Mus musculus: one gene and its partners. The protein of the gene in region 1 interacts with the protein of each later gene in a pairwise test. Links are inferred from orthologs where the notes say so. Each region holds a gene or a part of one and is shown in the gene's direction. Other genes may lie near its edges. The genes, in order: Itsn2, Synj2 and Larp6.

Region 1 (3,649 bases):
AAGTGCAAGAGGTATACACCCCACTTTTCAGAAAAGCATCTCTCAGAAAGATTAGACTTAATCTTGTAAGCTTTGAAGTGAATGAAAACCCCAAACCACATGTGTGGTAATGGTAGCAATTAGCCTTGACTCTCCTTGAGAGAAAGCACATTTTCTCTGCTTGCCTTTTTCATGACTCACTAATTTTTTTCTTATAAAGGACAACATTTAATTGGGGCTGGCTTACAGGTTCAGAGATTCAGTCCATTGACATCAAGGAGGGAGCATGGCAGCATCCAGGCAGGCATGGTGCAGGAGAAGCTGAGAGTTCTACATCTCCATCCAAAGGCAGCTCTTGGAAGATTGACTTCCAGGCAGTTAGTATAGGGTCTTAAAGCCCACACCTACAGTGACACACCTACTCAAACAAGACCACAACTCCAAATAGTGCCATTCCTTGGGCCAAGCATATACAAACCATCACATTCTATTCCCTGGCTCCTATAGGCGTGTTCAAACATATGAGTGTTTGGTGGCCATACTTAAACATAGCATAATGCAAAATAAATTTAGTCCAACTCCCAAAGTCCCCACCATGGCTCACTCTTTATGCTTTAACTCACATGTCTATAGGACATTTCAGTTCAGTTTAGAATATTATATAAACTTACAGAGGAGGATAATGTGTTATATGGTCATATACAAGATGTATATTTGTAATAGGCAAGTATGTTGCATCTCCTAACTTTCACATTCCCACAGCATACATAGGGCAAAGTGATTGATGGATAAAGGAAAAGGGGTCAGGAAAGACTTGGAGATTTCTGTCTGGAGTCATGCTGAGGACAGTGATGCAAGTTATAGAGAAGAGAGAGCAATTTGGAGTGAAAATTGGAGAGAGGAACACGATAGACACAGGATTCTTTTCTTTTGAGATGCCCGTGAAACATAGTTTGGTTGGACATAGGAGTATGAATATGGAGGTGCGGTTTGGGCTGCAGGCGCAGGGCATCAGGCTTTAGATGCTTGTTGAAAACAGAGAGAAAGCATGTTCAGGAGTCACAGGAGGAACTGCAGCCTCTATAGATCACGTAGGAAGAGAGAAGTGAAGAGTGTGAGGGAAGGGGTGTTGGGGGGAGGTCACGGCTGGAGAGCCTTTCTTCTCCATGCCTGGCCTGAGACTTGCCCTTGCTCTCAGAGCTGAGTGGAGCTTTCCTGCTGGAGGACCGTGGAGCAACACTCCCTCCTCACTAGCTCTAGGCTCTGCTGTCTGGAGCAGGACTGTGATCACTGCAGAAAGCCCACTACCTGGCCCCTGGTACAAACAATGATGGCAAATGTTCCGAGAAAGCTGCAACATTGTCTGCATGACTTAACAGAGACTAAAGTCGTTTCTTTTTATGCCTTTCTCACTCCATCAGGTTTTCAAGCTAGAAATGCCCTTCTTCAGTCAAATCTCTCTCAAACTCAGCTAGCTACTATTTGGTGAGTGTGCTCATCAGTGACTTCAAACTATACATCGTCTCTTATAAGAAATCTTTGTGGAAGATTGTTTCTGAAAGATCAAACATAAAATCATTGTTTCTGTAAAAATTTGTTACTTGAGAATATTCCATGAAAGTGTTTGAAAGTTACATTAACTAGGGAAGTGTCCATTTTTGAGAGCTTAACCTTGATTTTATAAGCAACAGTGTAGCTTTCTTCTTTATTGACTTACTTTGCAATCCAGAGATTATCTCATTTATTCCAGTGAATTGAACATGAACTATGATAGCCAACCTTCCCAGAATAGGCATTTGCTATGATGAGTCACTCTCTTCTGTTTGTTTTGGGCTATGGAGATTAAGGGTAAAAATTGACTCTTTTTTGGGTATGTGTTTACATTTTCCTAAAATATATTAACCTAGAATTTATCCTCTCATTACTCATAAAAATAAAAGTCAGTAAAAACTCTGACTTTGTGAACGGTCACATTGCCTTTAGGACTCTGGCTGACATCGATGGTGACGGACAGTTGAAAGCTGAAGAATTTATTCTGGCGATGCACCTCACTGACATGGCCAAAGCTGGACAGCCACTACCACTGACGTTGCCTCCCGAGCTTGTCCCTCCATCTTTCAGGTCTGTGTCTGCAGAGCCATGGCCCGCATCACCCCGGTGTTGTTCCTGCCTCACTGGAGCCCATGCATCGGTTTAGAGGAGAGCTACATACTTGCTCTGTCCTTTAGTTAATGAGTCACGATGGGAAGTAGATAACAGAAAGGGTTTTTTCACCATGCTATAAAAGAGGAAAAGTTTAACTGAGAAGATTAAGTAAGGCTTGCCCAGGAACAGCAGTTAGCTGAGTCTGGGTCTCTGGTTAACATCCAAGAGCTTTGTGCTTTGTAACTGAGGGCCATGCTGCAGTGTAAATAGCCTTAATGCTGTACCTTAAATACGAACTTGTTTTAATTGCTGATAATCTGTATTTTTTAGTCTGAAAATTCTCAGACTGTGATGGCTCTTTGTTGTTTGTTCTTCTTAGAGGGGGAAAGCAAGTTGATTCTGTTAATGGAACTCTGCCTTCATATCAGAAAACACAAGAAGAAGAGCCTCAGAAGAAACTGCCAGGTATTAATTTTACACTTTTAATTAATTTATTTTAAAATCAAAATCAGTTGTATTTTCTTTAAATTTTATTTTTGAAATACAAACACATATTTAGAGTATTTATAGATTTAAAAATTAGATGCCACATGAAAATAGGGAATGAATAAGATTTGTGTGCATGTGTGTCTATGTGTGTATTACTGGGGATTGAACCCATAGACCTATGTAACATCACCAGCTCACTGGGATATCTTAACTGATTTATACATTTTAATGAAGAGTAAAACTGAAAATGATGAAGGAAGAGGGAGCATGTATATGTTTGGAAAATTAGCATTTCTTCCACACTAGGGAGAGGCAGATCAAGCTTTGTAATGAAATCTTTAGCTTGAAAAAAGTTTTAAATATTCACTTAAAGAATGCACACATGATTATTTTATTTAGAAGTTAGTGCAAAGACTAGGGTTATAGCTCAACAGTAGAATGTTTAGCCAGTACTAAGTTTGCTCTCCAGCACTGCAAACCAAACCAAACCAAACCAAACCCCACCTTCTTCAGAGCTAATGACATGTAACAGATGGCACACAACCTCTGAGAAAAGTAAGTCAGGGTTTGTATTGGCTTGGATAGTCAGTGTTTGAATAGAATCAAATGTAGAAAATTGCAGGGTTTTAAGTGAATACTTTTACTTTCCTATTTACATTTGAGTATAGAAGTATCCGCAGGGGAAATAGCCAGAGAGCAAGAGCAGAAGCCGTCGCAAGTGACTACTAAGCAGAGTGTATTGAACTAGATGAGAGGCTCTGTAGGCTTGAGAGAAAGCATAGTCTCTCTCTCTCTCTCTCTCTCCCTCCCTCTCTCCCTCTCTCTCCTTCTCTCCCTCTCTCCCTCTCCTCCTCTCTCTCTCTCCTCCCTCCCTCCCTCCCTCCCTCCCTCCCTCCCTCCCTCCCTCCCTCCCTCCCTCCCTCCCTCCCTCCTTTTGTCTCCTTTTAGTTACTTTTGAGGACAAACGGAAAGCCAACTATGAACGAGGAAACATGGAGCTGGAGAAGCGACGCCAAGTGTTGATGGAGCAGCAGCA
Region 2 (4,318 bases), on another chromosome or scaffold:
TGTTTGGATACAGAAAAGGGAAGGTGGTTGAGGGTGACTTTGTTTCTATAAAGAATAAAATTTTGCCTGTCTCTGCCTCCCTAGTGCTAGGATTAAAGGTGCCGGCCACCCTGCCCAGCCGAGTTTGCTACACTTAATGTTACACGACTTGCATGGGGTGGTGATCTCTCCACTGTATAAAGAAGCTGTGGAGAACCAACCTCCGAAAGCCATGCGCCACTCTTGGTCTTAGCACAGCAGAATGGGGCGGGCGGGCGGCAGAGGAACCCAGCTGTTAGGGTGGCCTGCTGGAAACTTGCGGGTGAGGACCTCTAGAGGCATCACACTAGGAAAGGATGCTCCAAACGCGCCCAAAGGTGCTTCCAGTTCGACCTGGCTGCGTTCTCCCTTGGCTAGCAGACCAATCCTGACCAACCCGACCCAAGGACCAAGAGGCCTTGCCTCGAGTTGCTTGAAGGTTGCAGATCACAGAATACTCATCAATGCTGAGCAAGAACAGGCACTGAGATCCTCAGGTGGGGGTTCCTCACCTGTCACTCTGATAGGCGAGGCCATGTGCATCTCAGCGAGGTCAAGGTCATGTGGTAAAGGGGATAGCAGGGAATAGATGTCTCATCTCTCGGACACAACGCAACACCAGTTTGGGTCGCACAGTGAATTAAAGTCTTCGGTAGAAGGCAGCATTTAAAGAGTGTGTCAGGCACACACACACACACACACACACACACACACACACACACACACCACTCACAAGAACATACTCAATCACCACGGTAGTTTCAGAGTGAAGGCCACTTTGCGTTTCTGCAGTTCCATTCAGGGAGACTGAGGCACAGAACCCAATGGCCCCATCCGGGGTCTCAGGCGTGGGGGTGGGGTGGGCGTGGGAAGAAGTGCTGCGCCGGACAAGCGGTGGCGGCAGGGGTGGGGTGGGGGGTTGCCAGCCCTGCTCAGCCCTCAGCCCCCAGCTACCCATATAAGGCCGCGGGAATCCGGGCAGGGTCCGGGCTCCTGAGGCTCTCCGCGGCTGCAGCCTCCTCCGCGGCGAGGAATGTGTGGAATCTCCTTCGCCCGCAGCCGCCCCCAGCAGGGAGGACCGTCCCGGAGTACTGAGCCCTGGCGAGCTCAAGCCCACCGGGCGCAGTCTGGGTTCCCGCTGTGGCTCGCAGGTGCCTGCCTCGCCGCTTGGGGGAGCGCGGTCGTCGTCGGAGAGGCTGGGCGGCAGCGCCACCTCACCTGCTCGGGGCAGTGCGGCGGGGCCCGGGCGGAGGAGGAGGAGGGAGGGAGGGAGGGGGAGGAGGGGGTGGAGGAGAAAGGAGGAGGAGGAGGAGGCTGTCGTGGTGTTAGGGGAGGAGGAGGAGGAGGAGGAGGAGGAGGAGGAGGAGGAGGAGGAGGAGGAGGAGGAGGAGGAGGAGGAGGAGGAGGAGGAGGAGGAGGAGGAGGAGCCGTGGGCACTGGAGCCCGGCACAAAGTGAAACTCCTGGTAGCCGCACACCCTCGGGCGGGACCTGGTCCCCGCTCTCCTCTGCTCCCCGCGCCCATGGCTCTAAGCAAAGGGCTGCGGCTGCTGGCGCGGCTGGACCCCACTGGCCCGAGCAGCGTGCTGTTGGAGGCGCGGGGCCGCGGCGACTGCCTGCTCTTCGAGGCCGGCGCAGTGGCCACGCTGGGTGAGTGCCGCGCTCCCCGTGCTCCCCACTTGGGCAGCAACGCCGGGGAGGGAGGGAGGGCGGGAATTAGTGAAGGCGAGCGACTTCGCGGAGACCTGAGAACTAGGGGCGCTCGGTTCCCCGACAGGGAGGACCCCGGCGGCTTGGGGATGGCCAGGGGCGCTTGTCCGCGGGAGTACTGGGTGCGGGGGACACCAGAGAGCTGGCACATTTGGCTGGACTAAGCGTCGCGCTCGCCTGAGGGCGGGGATGTCTCGGGGGCGCTCTTCCTGGGGCTTGGGTGGCAGGCGTCTGTTCTTGGAGAGCCAACTGGCTCTGATTTCCGCTCCTGGTGCTCAGTGCCGAAACCTAGCATGTTCTGGACACTCTGAGGAGGGTGCCCTGAGGAGGAGTCCACCTAGTGCTCCCATGCTTGTGCACCTGTTGAATACACCAAAGCAGCATTGCCTTGCCTGAAGGGATGACACGTAGGCACCAAAACAGACTTTGAGAAACGTCGATGGCACCCTTCATTTGTCTCCTATAAATACTCCATCAGAAGCAGGAGTAGAAGCAAATATACTCTCTAGTGACTTTATCTTTATGCTGGGTGTTAGGTGAGGGCAAGCCATTGTATTTCATTGATTGACTTCAGAAATTGTGAGATCAGCATTGTGCTAAGGACTTTAGAGACAAAATCTTACACAACCTTTGCAGTTTTAGCTCGTAATAAAGATAAACAAACTGGGGCCTAAAGAGGCTAAGACACTTGCTCCAGGCAACACAGACTTGTGTGTGGCTATTTTGGTGATGTCATGCGGTGCATGCCTTCCTGGTAAGTCCAACTTCCGGATCCCTAGTTTTGTAATTGACATTTGCAAGAAGATCTAGGTAGCATAAAGCCAGCAGTCAGATAGGATCAGTAAGATTTTAATGATGAGCCTTGAAGGGCAGGTTTAAGACAGTGGGTGTCCAGTTGTCCATCCTCCTGGTGTTCCTAGCTAAACAGGATCACTTATATTTTAGGAGGTAAGAAATGCAAAGCACTCATTTGTAAAGTGTTTTATGACTCCTTTTCTCAGGTTTGGATGTGTCAGCTCAAGCTACGACATCCACATATTTGTGCGTACATACACCATGTCTTAAAGGGGGTGCATCAATTTCTACTTCCTGGACCATGCCATTAATGTGTAATTTATCAAGCTGGGTGTGGTGGAATACAGCCCACGTTCTGGCTATGCAAGGCGGGAGGATCAATGGGAAGATGGATTAAGCCCCAGAGTTTCATACCAGATTGGACAACCTAACCAGACCTCAAAACATGCTGGCCAAATACAGACACAGAAAAGGGAAACAGCAAATATCTGGCTTGCTGTCAGTCACTTGATTAGGGAAGGAGGATTCTGTGTCAAAAGTAGACAGTCGTGGAATAATTATCACATTATTGCAGTTGGAGTTCTGTCCTGAAAAGTCCAAACTTGGTCATTTGTTGCAGCCTTGAAAGAAAACCATGGAAATTTCCACTCCATTTTAGTCATTTACTCCATAACACATTTCTCAGAACCCAAAGATTAAATTTCATGATACAAAGTTACTGTGACTTCAAAGAGGTTAGAATGCCTCTCAGCAATGCCAAGCCATATTTATACCCCAGTGAGAGTGGTTTTGAAGCCACTTGGAACAGGTGTCTCCCATCAGGCAGTTGAGTTTGGGCCACTATGTGTTTACATGGTAGCAATGATGCAGTACTTTGGATTACAGCAGAAGTTGTCATGAAAAGAACTGTCACGTTCTAACCCTCCTCTCCTGTTCTACACTTCTATCTCCCACCTAACTGTCTGCTTTCAGTAGACCACTGGATGGATTACTTGCAGTTTTGGGTTTGTTTTCCATGGTCAACAAAATGAAACTTTTTATTTCTTTTTTTTTTTTTTTAAAGAAATTGTAGCCCTTGCTGATAATGCTGAGAGAGGATTACAAGAGAGCCTTTGTTACTAGAAAGGAAAGTCATTGCTTTGTACTTTTAAAACATCCTAAATGCCTCATTGTTGGGTGGAATAACTCTGAACTTGAAATCGCCACCTCTTCCCAGCGCCAGATAGCCGAGTTACTTTCTTTTCCTTGACCTTTCTTTTTCCCCAAGAAATAAAGCTGGCCGGGGCCTAGCAAACACAGAAGTGGATGATCACAGTCAGTTATTGGATGGGTCACACGGCCCCTAATGGAGGAGCTAGAGAAATTACCCAAGGAGCTAAAGGGAACTGCAACCCTATAGGTGGAACAACAATATGAATTAACCAGTACCCGGGAGCTCTTGTCTTTAACTGCATATGTATCAAAAGATGGCCTAGTCGGCCATCACTGCAAAGAGAGGCCCATTGGACTTGCAAACTTTATATGTCCCAGTACAGGGGAACGCCAGGGCCAAAAAGGGGGAGTGGGTGGGTAGGGGATTGGGGGGGTGGGTATGGGGGACCTTTGGGATAGCATTGAAAATGTAAATGAGGAAAATACCTAATTAAAAAAAAAAAAGAAAATATCCATATGTTATGCTTAAGAATGAAAAATACTAATATTGTGTTAGTAATACCACTTGTGTGCCTGAGAAGCATAAATTTAAATATAAAAGCACTGGCTTTGAAAAAAAAAAAAAGAAAGAAAGAAAGAAAGCC
Region 3 (3,649 bases), on another chromosome or scaffold:
AAATATGTGTTTCTGTAGAGAATCTCAATCCATTCAGGTTGACAATTATGGTTAGTCACCCCATAGAGTTCCTGACGACCTTATAAAGTTCTGGAGGCTGCACAAAGCCAAACCCCCTTGTTTATTTTTTAAAATTTATTTTAGTTTATGTGTGTGTTAGTGTATGTATATGTACCATGGGCATGCAGTTCCCTCAAAGTCCAGAAGAGGGCGTCAGATCCCCTGCAACTGGAGTTACAGACTATTGGGAGCCATCATGTGGGTGCTGGGAATTAAATTCAAGTCCCCTACAAGAGCAACTAGTGCTAGTAACCACTGGGCCATCTCTCTAGTCCCCTTGTTCCTTTTCTGGGCTGATACCTGAAAACCATCATAAAGATCACAAACACAGACCTGGAGTGCCCAGGGAGTGGTTCTTAGGAGATCTGGCTCTTGCCTCTGTGTGTTCTCCAGTCCTCTATAGCCCTCCCCGGTCCTTACCCTTCCCAGTAAGGCACCAGAGGCTTCCTGCTCCGATTCCAGCCATCTCCTGCATGCTCCTTTCTGAGCCGTGCAGGAAAGGTGTGGCTCTGTCATATCAGGCCATGGTTTTCCAACAAACCGTGTGGTTTACAGTGACCAAAATTCATCTCAACCCCTTCTGTATTTTTGGCTAGCTGACTGTTCACTAGAAATCCAACCATCTACCCAGGCCTGTTTCTCTGTATCATAGTGATTAGTCCTATCACTCTGTGTAGGTGTCCTGGGGTTTCTTCATGCTAAGAATGAGAGGCCAAGACTAGAATGGGCAGAGCACACACTCCCAGCAGTGTGTCAGGACTCTGGGCTCTTTGGATGTTTCCCTGACCTGCCTGGGTAGCAGGCTTTCCCATCTTGCTTTCTGTGCCTTTTCTGTTTGAGGCCTGGGCACACTGGGGGTTCCTGGCTCCTCTGCAGATCAGTCTCATGGGCCCAGCCTCAGAGGACTCTGGGTGATTTTCCCTTGCAGGCTCAGGTTACCCACCCCACCCATATCTAGTAGTTCTTGAGATGACTCATGTCCCTGGCACATCCTTCACTGGAAGTGGGCCTCCGCAAAATTGCCGTTTTATAAAATAAATATAGCTTTTCATATACTGCAGTGTCTGTTTGCAGTTTCCATCATGGGAGGGGATTTTTAAAAATTTATTTATTTTATGTATATGTGTACACTGTTACTGTCTTCAGACACATCAGAAGAGGGCATCAGATCCCATTACAGATGGTTGTGAGCCACCATGTGGTTGCTGGGAATTGAACTCAGGACCTCTGGAAGAGCAGCCAGTGCTCTTAACCGCTGAGCTATCTCTCCAGCCCCTCTTCATGTGGTGTCTGTGCCTGTGACTCTTGGGAGAGATTACAGAGAAACGGAGGGTCCTTGGAAGGCTCCTCTTTGCTGTGAATCACAGCAGTGGAGAATGTGAGATCCTCTAACTCCTTCCTTAGTAGTAGCACATTCAGTGGTGACACTCTACAGTCTCTGCCTTTGGAGGCCTAGACTGGAGAGATCATGAGTTTGAGTCCAGCCTGGACTATAGAGCAAAAGCCTATCTCAAAACAAAATGAACAAAACCAAAAACAACAAACAAACAAACAAAAATCTGGACTGGGGTTGTAGCTCATGGAAGACTGCTTGCCTGATATTCTACATTCTGTCCTCGGGTCTGCCCCAAATTCACTGTGACATATACATTTGCAACAGTGATAGCACAATGTTATTGAGTATTCTATATTTTTTTGCACATACACCACACACACACACACACACACACACACACACACACACTGCACTTATGTAGTAGCTAGAGATCAAGCTTAAGCATTTCTCAGAAGCCCACCATCTTGGTTCTTTTGAGCGGAGTCCCTCCCTGGCCTAGAACTAGCCAAGTAGTCAAGGCTGGCTGGCCAGAATGCCTGTCTCTGCTTCCCCATTGCTGAGATTACAGGCACAAGCCATCCTGCCTGGCTTCTTCACATGGGGTCTGGGGGTTGAACTGGAGGTCCTTGTGCATGTGTGACAAGCACTTTTCCGACTGAGCCACCTCCCCAAACCCTCGCTACATCTTGTTGCAGTGCTATGAAGTAGACAGGTTCAATAGTTCTAGCACCCAGACAAGGCTGGGTTCTGAGAGACTAAATAATTATCCAAGTCTTCCTGGGGGATGGAGGTGACACTTGGGTCTATGCACTTAACAGCCTACTTTTAGAGCAGAAGTTCTCAACCTGTGGGTCATGACCCCTTTGGGGATCGCATATCAGACATCCTACATATCAGATACTCACATTATGATTCATAGCAGTAGCAAAATTATAGTTATGAAGTAGCCATGAAATAATTTTATAGTTGGGGACTTACCACAACACGAGGAACTGTATGTACTAAAGGGTCTCACATTAGGAAGGCTGAGAACCACTGTTTTAGGACTACAGAATCTGACCCGTGAACTTGGGCAGAGTTTGAGGCTGTAGCTCATTGGTAGAGTGCTTACCTTCTGTGCACGATGCCCTAGGTTAATTCCCAGTGCTGTCAAAATGTACAAATAAAACAAAACAAACAAACAAAAAAGAGGCAAAGATGTTTACCATCTGAAGAGAAACCAAGGCTATTGTTCCTATTGTTTTAGTCTCTCTAACAAAGACTTGGAATCAACCCAGGTTGTCCATCAACAGATGAATGGATAATGAAAGATCATATATGCATGAAATTTATGAAATATATAATATATCCTATATATACCATATGTGTATGTGACTACTACTCAGCTCTACAGAGAAATGTAATCACAAAATCTGCAGGAAAATGGATGGACTTAGAATGCATAATGCTCAGTGAAGTCACATGATCTCAGAAAGCAAAGCACTTTCTCATATGCAGAACCTAGCCAATAGCATATGTGTATATGTAAACAAATGCACGTGTGAGTGCAGGATAATGTGTAGAAAAGAGAGCGAGAAGAGCTGAGTGTTAGGAGGAGGAGAGACTGAGGTGCAGGTGACGGGCATGCATTAGAGAGAGAATCTAAAATCTTTCCAGTACTAACTCTGTTGTGGATTGTTTTCATTTTGGGTGATGGGTAACTGCATAAAATTCAATTGATATTGAAGCTGGAAGACTCAGTGTGAAACGTCACAGCTTCAGAATGGCTATTCTAGCTCTTCACTGAGATACATAGACTTGGGATCTGGCTAATTTCAGTTTGTAATTCTTTTTGCAATCTTCATAATAAAGTTTACGTTAAAGAACTTTAAGGAAAGAAAGCATTGAAGAAGTGGTTGGAGAAATTTTTCATTTCATTCTCTGTCTGGTATTTGAGTGTCTTCCACACCAGGGATGAGCTTAGTCATCAGTGCTGAAGAGGTGAGGAAGGGAGGGAGGGAGGGAGGGAGGATACTGCGTGTTCAAGTGTGGACAAGGAGAGGAGATACCATTCAGATCTGCTTTGTGTTCCTCAGGTGAAACACCTCACCCGGGACTGGAGGACCACAGCACACGCCTTGAAGTATTCAGTCACCCTGGAGTTGAACGAGGACCACCGGAAGGTTAGGAGGACCACCCCTGTGCCACTGTTCCCCAATGAGAACCTCCCCAGCAAGATGCTGCTGGTCTATGACCTACACCTGTCCCCTAAGC

Evidence for each region.
Region 2: the proteins of Itsn2 (region 1) and Synj2 interact in a two-hybrid assay, tested with the Homo sapiens proteins (2 studies listed by BioGRID and IntAct). The link is inferred for Mus musculus from reciprocal best matches to the Homo sapiens genes ITSN2 and SYNJ2.
Region 3: the proteins of Itsn2 (region 1) and Larp6 interact in a two-hybrid assay, tested with the Homo sapiens proteins (2 studies listed by BioGRID, with this or other methods). The link is inferred for Mus musculus from reciprocal best matches to the Homo sapiens genes ITSN2 and LARP6.

The regions. Positions count from the first base shown.
Region 1 is NC_000078.6:4,630,974-4,634,622, forward strand, and holds part of Itsn2 (intersectin-2), read left to right. Parts: intron 1-1,400; coding exon 1,401-1,464; intron 1,465-1,962; coding exon 1,963-2,100; intron 2,101-2,503; coding exon 2,504-2,589; intron 2,590-3,561; coding exon 3,562-3,649.
Region 2 is NC_000083.6:5,939,911-5,944,228, forward strand, and holds the start of Synj2 (synaptojanin-2), read left to right. Parts: upstream 1-1,369; 5' UTR 1,370-1,540; coding exon 1,541-1,667; intron 1,668-4,318. UniProt on the Homo sapiens protein: Inositol 5-phosphatase which may be involved in distinct membrane trafficking and signal transduction pathways. May mediate the inhibitory effect of Rac1 on endocytosis.
Region 3 is NC_000075.6:60,733,519-60,737,167, forward strand, and holds part of Larp6 (la-related protein 6), read left to right. Parts: intron 1-3,471; coding exon 3,472-3,649. UniProt on the Homo sapiens protein: Regulates the coordinated translation of type I collagen alpha-1 and alpha-2 mRNAs, CO1A1 and CO1A2. Stabilizes mRNAs through high-affinity binding of a stem-loop structure in their 5' UTR.